Oreochromis niloticus: one gene and its partner. The protein of the gene in region 1 binds, or shares a complex with, the protein of each later gene. Links are inferred from orthologs where the notes say so. Each region holds a gene or a part of one and is shown on either strand. Other genes may lie near its edges.

The links. The genes of interacting proteins can lie anywhere in the genome.
Region 2: b9d1 (region 1) and tmem216 share a complex: the UniProt entries of both Homo sapiens proteins name them as parts of the tectonic-like complex. The link is inferred for Oreochromis niloticus from reciprocal best matches to the Homo sapiens genes B9D1 and TMEM216.

What each region holds. Positions count from the first base shown.
Region 1 is NC_031969.2:13,175,438-13,179,189, reverse strand, and holds the start of b9d1 (B9 domain-containing protein 1), read right to left. Parts: upstream 2,823-3,752; 5' UTR 2,678-2,822; coding exon 2,615-2,677; intron 2,459-2,614; coding exon 2,390-2,458; intron 2,237-2,389; coding exon 2,125-2,236; intron 1,445-2,124; coding exon 1,348-1,444; intron 1,165-1,347; coding exon 1,102-1,164; intron 589-1,101; coding exon 521-588; intron 252-520; coding exon 103-251; 3' UTR 1-102. UniProt on the Homo sapiens protein: Component of the tectonic-like complex, a complex localized at the transition zone of primary cilia and acting as a barrier that prevents diffusion of transmembrane proteins between the cilia and plasma membranes.
Region 2 is NC_031966.2:8,581,499-8,585,250, reverse strand, and holds the start of tmem216 (transmembrane protein 216), read left to right. Parts: upstream 1-1,085; 5' UTR 1,086-1,162; coding exon 1,163-1,172; intron 1,173-2,190; coding exon 2,191-2,204; intron 2,205-2,290; coding exon 2,291-2,384; intron 2,385-3,028; coding exon 3,029-3,121; intron 3,122-3,461; coding exon 3,462-3,663; intron 3,664-3,752. Other genes in the region: tmed9 (transmembrane emp24 domain-containing protein 9), read right to left, coding at 342-531. UniProt on the Homo sapiens protein: Part of the tectonic-like complex which is required for tissue-specific ciliogenesis and may regulate ciliary membrane composition.

The DNA of each region.
Region 1 (3,752 bases):
GTCACTGTGAGGGGAAAAAACGTCGCCTTCAGGGGCTCGTAACATGAGGAGACGTGTTATTTGGCCCAAATTTCCTTCAGTCTGTTAATGTTGCCACACGTTTTATGGTTGTTCCTCTGTTGACCAGCCAGATGTGGCGGAGGGCTTGTTTGCCGGGCCTGATGGTCCCGTGTCATAGTCCATCTTCTTCATGTCTTTAGTCATGATGAGAAAGGAGACTGAGACGAAGCCTTGCGAACGAACTCTAGTCACTGCAACATTAAATATAAGACAGAGTTTTTGTTTTAGTCCAGAGCCTGGAAAATACGCTGCAGAGTAATAAGTAACTTGTGTAATTTGATCTGCTGTGAATCTAAAGGCTCAGTCACTAGAATAAAAACTGCTATAGGAGAAACAACCATTTCAACAGCAACACGAAGTTAATCGCACTAGACTGGACTCCTTTCATTTTCCCTGGTGTGACTTTAGCACAACGTGGTAGTTTTGGGACAGTAAAGAAATGCAGACAAGAGCCACACACCTTCTCTGCCCTCACCCTGGGCCACCACTTTAGGATCTGTGTATTCAGGCCGCCGCCCCGTCAACCACCTGAACAGAGGAGAGGAAAAAAAAAAATTGTCGTACACAGAAAGGTTCACAAACTGGCTTAAGAATATGCATTTAGCTTGAGATGTACATCGTTTTCTCAGTCTACTCTGGAGGGCTTTTTAAGGCAATTTAACCTTAACTTGATACTTTGATACAAGTGGCTAAAACAAGAGGAAGAAAAGCCCTTAAAAAGTGTGCTGCTGCTGTTTTATTTCAGTTACACTGTCAGGACAACAAATGGCATAACTTTGGCATGCCACCAAAGTTACACAACCTTAGGTTGTCAGGAGATAACGTGGGAATACCTTTGTGTTTTTCCGCATACTGATCACAGAAGCAGGAAAACAATGTTAATTATTCTCACCACACAGGTAATAAGAGCCTATCTTTAGCTCAGGTCTTGCGCAGATAGACATGGTGGAACATTAACTTTTTTGTACTGCTCTGAGATCATAAGCCACCCGAGCCACTGGCAGAGAGACGAGAAGACTGCACACTGAGCACACATCTCACCCTGTGAACTTCTGAAGTCTCCATGTGGGCTCAGGAACAAACATGGGAATGGTTTTCGTATGCCTGAAGAATAAAAATAAGGTTATTTTCTGTTTCACGCTCTTCCTGCTGAAAGAAGCAAGTGGTGTCTACATTCTGACATAGCTCAAAGGTGAGCACAAGTTATTTGAAAATGGTACTTGTGTAGGGCAACCCCCCCCCCCCAAAAAAAACCCCTAAGGATAAGTAAATGAAAGCAGTACTGACTGTCCTGGTGTGAAGGGGATGTGTGTTGCTCCATAGCCTCTGACTACATCGTTGCCAAAAACATCTGGACCATAAACACTCACCACGAGCTGAGGCCCTGGAAAATGAACCCATTAATTAATACATAAATTCTCTGTCTACAATAAGTTTTAGATATTACTTCTACTTCTATTTTCAGCTGCTCCCTTTAGGGGTCACCAGAGCAGATCATCTGCCTCAATCTCACCTATCTAACATCTTCCTCTGTGGTCTTCCTATTTTCCTCCTGCCTAACAGCTCCATATTCAGCATCCTTTGTCCAGCATTTCCACCTTCCCTCCCTCCATGTCTAACTGTCTCCAAACTGCTCAACCTGAGTGGTCCCGCTGATATATTAATTTCCAGTCCCATCCATCCTGGTCACTCCCAGACTCCAAACCATGCATCATAACAGATCTCACCACCATCCTTTAAACCTTCCCTTTCACTCATGCTGCTATCCTTCTATCACAAATCGCCCCTGACACTCATCTCCACCCACTCCACCCAGCCTGCACTCTTTTTCACCTCTCTTGTACACTTTGGACGGTTGATTCTCACATACTTGGTTGGCTGTCTGTCCGTACTACAGTTCATCTCTTGTCACTCTATCATATACTTTCTCTTGATCTGCAAAGACACACTGCAACTAATTTGCCATTCTCTATACTTCTTCTAAAGGATCTAATATTTTTGTCAACAGAAGGCAACTGTTCCTAATTAACCACGTGTTTTTGAGTGTGTTTGTGTAATGCTCACATCCAGATGGATTTGTGCTCTTAAATGTTGTTGCCAGTGGGAAGTTCCATATCAACCTGTGCGATGCTTGACTGCTTTTACTGGCGATTTGTGTGATGCCTTCCTCCAACCCCTATAGAAGGAAAACAAACAAACACACGAACTTTCAGTAGGGGCTGTACTTTAACCATTTGTTATTTAGTAAAGACTTTATGACCCCTTTTCAGGCTAATTGTGGCTTTACTAAACACAACACTGTAATTTTATATTGCATCACGCTACTCACCGTGGTGGGAGCCCAGTCGTGGCCGTAGACAAAACAATATTTGCAGTACAAGTTGTCATACTCTGGAAACTGAAATACAACACAGATATCAGCTTAACACCTGTACACAAGGGTAAACGAACCGAGAAATGAGACGAATCCATGGCACAAGCTATCTCAGGGGGTGCTAATGCTAGCTGAACAATCAGCTGCAAGGCTAGGCTAAAACACAGAAAGCCCACGCACGTTCGCTCCCTCAATATGTCCGTTCACCGTGAGAAGAAACACGGATGGGTTGCTTGCAGCCATTACGGCTTTAGTTAGTAAACCAGAAGCTGAATGCGTTTCTATTTCATGACAGATTCAACCCGCTGCAGAAGAATCCTGCTGCTGATCATTCCGTTGCTAGGGCGACGCTTTTCCTCCTCTCTACGGAAACCTGCTACATCCAAACTGAACGGTCGCGTAAACGCGGTGAGGAAATGTTCACACTGTCCACAAGATGACGCCACTGTACCAAACACCAATAAAGAAGCAAACTCAAACACTGAGTAACAGGAGAGCATCCTGCAGCTTTATATAAACAGTGAACACTATCAGGCTGAGGAGACGGTAATGCGCGCGGTCACATAGTGTACTAAGTGGGGCCACGAGTCACAACATATGATCAGGAAGCAGAGGAAGTGTGGAATGGAGGAGCACAGCATTACCACATTAGTGTCCAGTGGCTTCGATTTATGGGTAGGATTTATTACCATGTCCATTCTTGGGAACAGAAGATGGCAGAACTTAATATGTTGGTTGTCAGCCATTGTTTAAAAACAGTGAGGAAGAGGAGAAGCCTTCCAGCACATAGGGGAAGTAGAACAAAACTGGTTTTGATGTAAAAACTTTCTGGATCTGCACTATTTTTTTTCTTCTACTGTTTAAAATTTACACGACAGTGAATTTGAACTTACATCAATTTAAACTTACAAACTTACTTGTTTTTAATTTAAATGAATTTTATAGATAATTTTGAACAATCATGTAGGTGCTATTAGATCTAATATAAGATTGTAACGCTGATGTCGGGGTTAATTTCAACATTTAGGACTGCAGGCCCCTTGTTTCTCTGTGTTGATGACTGACTTTACTGTTAAAAATCACATATTGCAATAATTCTACATTTAAAATGACTTCCTAAAATAAAAATACATCTTTTTGTATAAAATAGTGCTTACATGTTGACAGAAGGTGTCAATTTGAAGGCATAATAGCAAATCTTGCATTATTCTCTTAAAAGCTCTTATGTCATATGGTAATATCTTAAAAAAATCAGTCAGTATCTGTTGTCTATATTTTTTTTAATTTATTTTTTATTGAACTTTTAATTGCAAAGCAG
Region 2 (3,752 bases), on another chromosome or scaffold:
CCTGGATTAAATTATAGAGGAGGATTCAACGGGCCAAAGGATCCACTTTAAACTTAGTGTTGATGGATTATTATTTCAACAGCTTTCTTTAATGGAAAAATACCTTTATGAAAACTTTAATCACACTTTAAAGTTTAGATTTTTGCGGGGATTTTCCTTACTATAAAATCAAATCATGCTATCGTGAACTTTTTTTTTAATAATATTTATTTTAATTAAGTTTAGATTTTTTTGAAAAAGTGCACACATATTTGAAGACACGACACACTAAACTTGAGCTGTTAGCTGCTCGGCTAACTAGCTGCTAGCATTATCCCACAGATCCCCCACCCCCCTCTCACCGATAATCATGGTCTCGTCCGGAATCTCCTCGATGAAGCATTTCTTCTCGGTCTCTCCGATGTGAAAGTACAGTGCGGAGACGAAGCTGCACAAAACGTTCAGGAGTAAAACTGAAAACAGACACGGCTGCATCCTGATCCGGAGCGACGCCATCTTCCTGCCGGGACACACGGAACTCACACTGAGCATGCGCCTGTCACAGCAGTGCCACGTAAACCCTTGCGGCACTCTGGCCAATCGGCTAACCGCAGGAGGATACTGGGTGTCGTAGTTCTAAACGCTCTGGGCTTCTAAAATGAATGATAAATAATTTTATCATGATTAATCATTTATTTTTAGTTTATGTACTTAAAAAAATACTCAAAATGTGCGTTTATGAGACATTGTTTAAAAAAAAACAAGAGGCTTCTGAACTCTTTGCCCCCTCTCTCTCACGGACAATAACCATATCCAACTTCTAAATATTACTTGTCATGTTGTATGTTGTTGCTGGGGACTGTTTTATTGCACTGGAGTTATATTTACACTTATTATTATTTTTATTCACGCAATTTCATTGTTTTCTGACAATGACAATAAATATTTGAATTGAATTGAATTTTATTTAGCAAAGGAAAACAAATATTTAATTTCATAAGTAAAACTGAGTTGTTATTAAAATGCTTTGATGTATGCCTGTTATTATTATTTTGTATTACTGTAAGACCACGAAAACAATCTCGTGGTCTTTTACTGTGAAAGACCAAAGCGGGAAAAAGCCTTTTTCACACATGCGTAGACCAAATCAAACGGTATCCACGGCAACAGGGCTGAAGCGGACATGGCGCCCGGTGAGTGTGAGGTTTTTGTTGTTGATAAATCGGTAAAGGTGCAGGGTTAAAGTTTTAAATATTTCATAGGTTAAAGTCAGTGGAGAGTTTACTGGTCGAATAAAACTGTATATGGTTATTTATTTTTGAGCAGGCTGAGCGTGGTCAGAGCAGCGAACACGTCAGGTTTCTGTCAGCTCATCAAACCACAGCAGTCAGAGAGACGCTAACATTACTGATAAAGAACCGCAGCACATGTTTTTACACAGAAACAGCAGCTGCGTTTCCTTATTTACTCTCTTCAGCTCAGTTAGTCACATTGAAAAGACTGAAAACAAAGATGCTAAAGCCTAAAAAACAACACATTAAACAGGAAGTTTAAAAATATCAGTTTTAGTCTGACTTTTAAGAGTCCACAGATCTCAGACACTCAGAGCCTGACAACATGACCACGGGAAGCTGCTGACAGCGTATGGATGTTAAAATTCACAGATGTACGTAGGTTCCTGTCCCTGGAAAGCTCTAAAGGTCAAAACCATACTCTTAAAGTGCACTCTGAAGCAGCTGAATCAGCAGTGACTCAGTCTGAACCCTCACAGCGGCACTCTGAATGACCTGCAGACGTTCTAGCGAAGCTTTGTTAAGACAAGAGAACAAAGAAATTTGAAAATTGCTATAATTCAAAAGTGATGACATAGATGCATGAACGACAATCCCCAGTTCAGACATCCTGGAGCGCAAAGCTGCTTTATAAAGAATAGAATAATAAAAGAATATAAATAAATTATTAAATGCAGTAAAAACAATCACAGACATTAGAAACGTCAAAGATATGCCAAAAGAGACAGAAGAAAGAAAGCACACCTGCAAATCTGTGTGTACAACGAAATCACTTAAATAAATATTTAAACATTTTATATCATTAATAATATTATCAAGATCACCAATACAATCAGCAGGTTAATCAGTAATCTGATCTGTCCTGTTTGTGGTCTGTAACTCACTCTTCTGCTTCCTGTTTCCACTTTTTTTCCTGCAGGGAGCCAACCAATCGTATCCTTCACCTGACTCTAACGCAGAGCTGCAGGTCATGTGACTTTGTGCCTGCCGTTGTTTCTCCTTGACCTCCTCTTCCTCAGCTCTCGTCCGCTCCTCTGCAGGTGCTGTTCTACCTGAACAGCTGGTACTTTGCTGCCTTCTACCTGGCCGAGGTCCTCATGTTCATCTATAAAGGTGTGTGAGAGCATCCTCCTCTACCTCCTCTTTCTCCTGCAGCGCAGAACTCAGAGACAGAGTTTGAGAAATGGTGCCGTTCACGCAGACGATTAAATGGGACAGAGAATTGGGCTTTTTGACCGAGCGCTGCGAGCTCGAGCTGAACTGGGACTGAGTTTGAGGGGCACTTGATTTACCGTCGAAGCTTCCAAGCTCAGAAAGTGCACAGTCATAGCCCGGCTACGACTGTGCCGGGCTACAGTCGGAGAGAAATCGGAGTCCTTCAGGAGGTCTGCTGATGTACGCCTAACCCACAAAAGTCTGAACTCAGTCCAATGTGCTTTTATTTTTTAAGATCGAGTCACATTTAACTTAACATTTTATTTTTACATTAAAAAAGCTTAATATTCCTGTTTTTGTTCAGCTGCAGCCTGAAACTCACTTTGTTAAGAAGTCATACGTGGGTCCATCGTTGCTGTAGAACTTTATTTAAGCAGGTTAAATCCAATTAACAGCCTCCACAGTTTAAACTGGAGGAGAGGATTATGATGGTGATGAAGATGATGGTGTTTGTTAAGATGGAGAGGCTGATGATGATGGGGTCATATTGATGTTGATGGTGATGATGATGGTGATGGCGTTCTGATGTCTGCTCTCTGCAGGAGTTTTGTTGCCGTACCCGTCAGATAACCTGGTTCTGGACGTCGTGCTGCTGCTGCTTTTCCTCGCTCTTGAGATTCTGCGGATCTTTTACGGTGAGCAAAGTCACGTCTCATTTTGAATAAATCTTTATTTATAACAGGAATGGTCTTTCATGTCCTTTAAGAAGTCAGATAAGATGATTTTATCTGTCTTGAGTTCATGCTCTGCTGCTCCTGCCACCTCCTATTTAATTCAATTCAATTTAATTCAATTTTATTTATATAGCACCAAATCACAACAACAGTCGCCTCAGACATTTATGTGTCTGACAACAAAGTGCTTCACAAAAACATGTCGTGTACACACACACACATACACACACACACACACACACACACACACACACACAACACGCACGTCACAAACTGAGTGTCAAACTGCGTCTCCATCCAGGCTGGAAGGGAAACCTGTGCGAGCGCTCTCTGGCTTCCTGCATGTCGCTCTTTGTCCTGCTCCCCTGCACCGCGCTCGCCGTGTACTACCTTCTGCTGCAGACTTTCGTCCTACGCCTCGAGTTCCTGCTCAACGCCGTGCTGCTCTGCTTCTACGGCCTCGAGTTCCTGCTCGGGCTCATCTCCATATCCGCCTTCTCCAGGTGATGGCGTCCTCATGTGGGCTTTTTGGGTCGGTACAAATCTTAGTCGTTTCCTTAAATACTAAAGTTCATACTTTACGTCTTCTTCC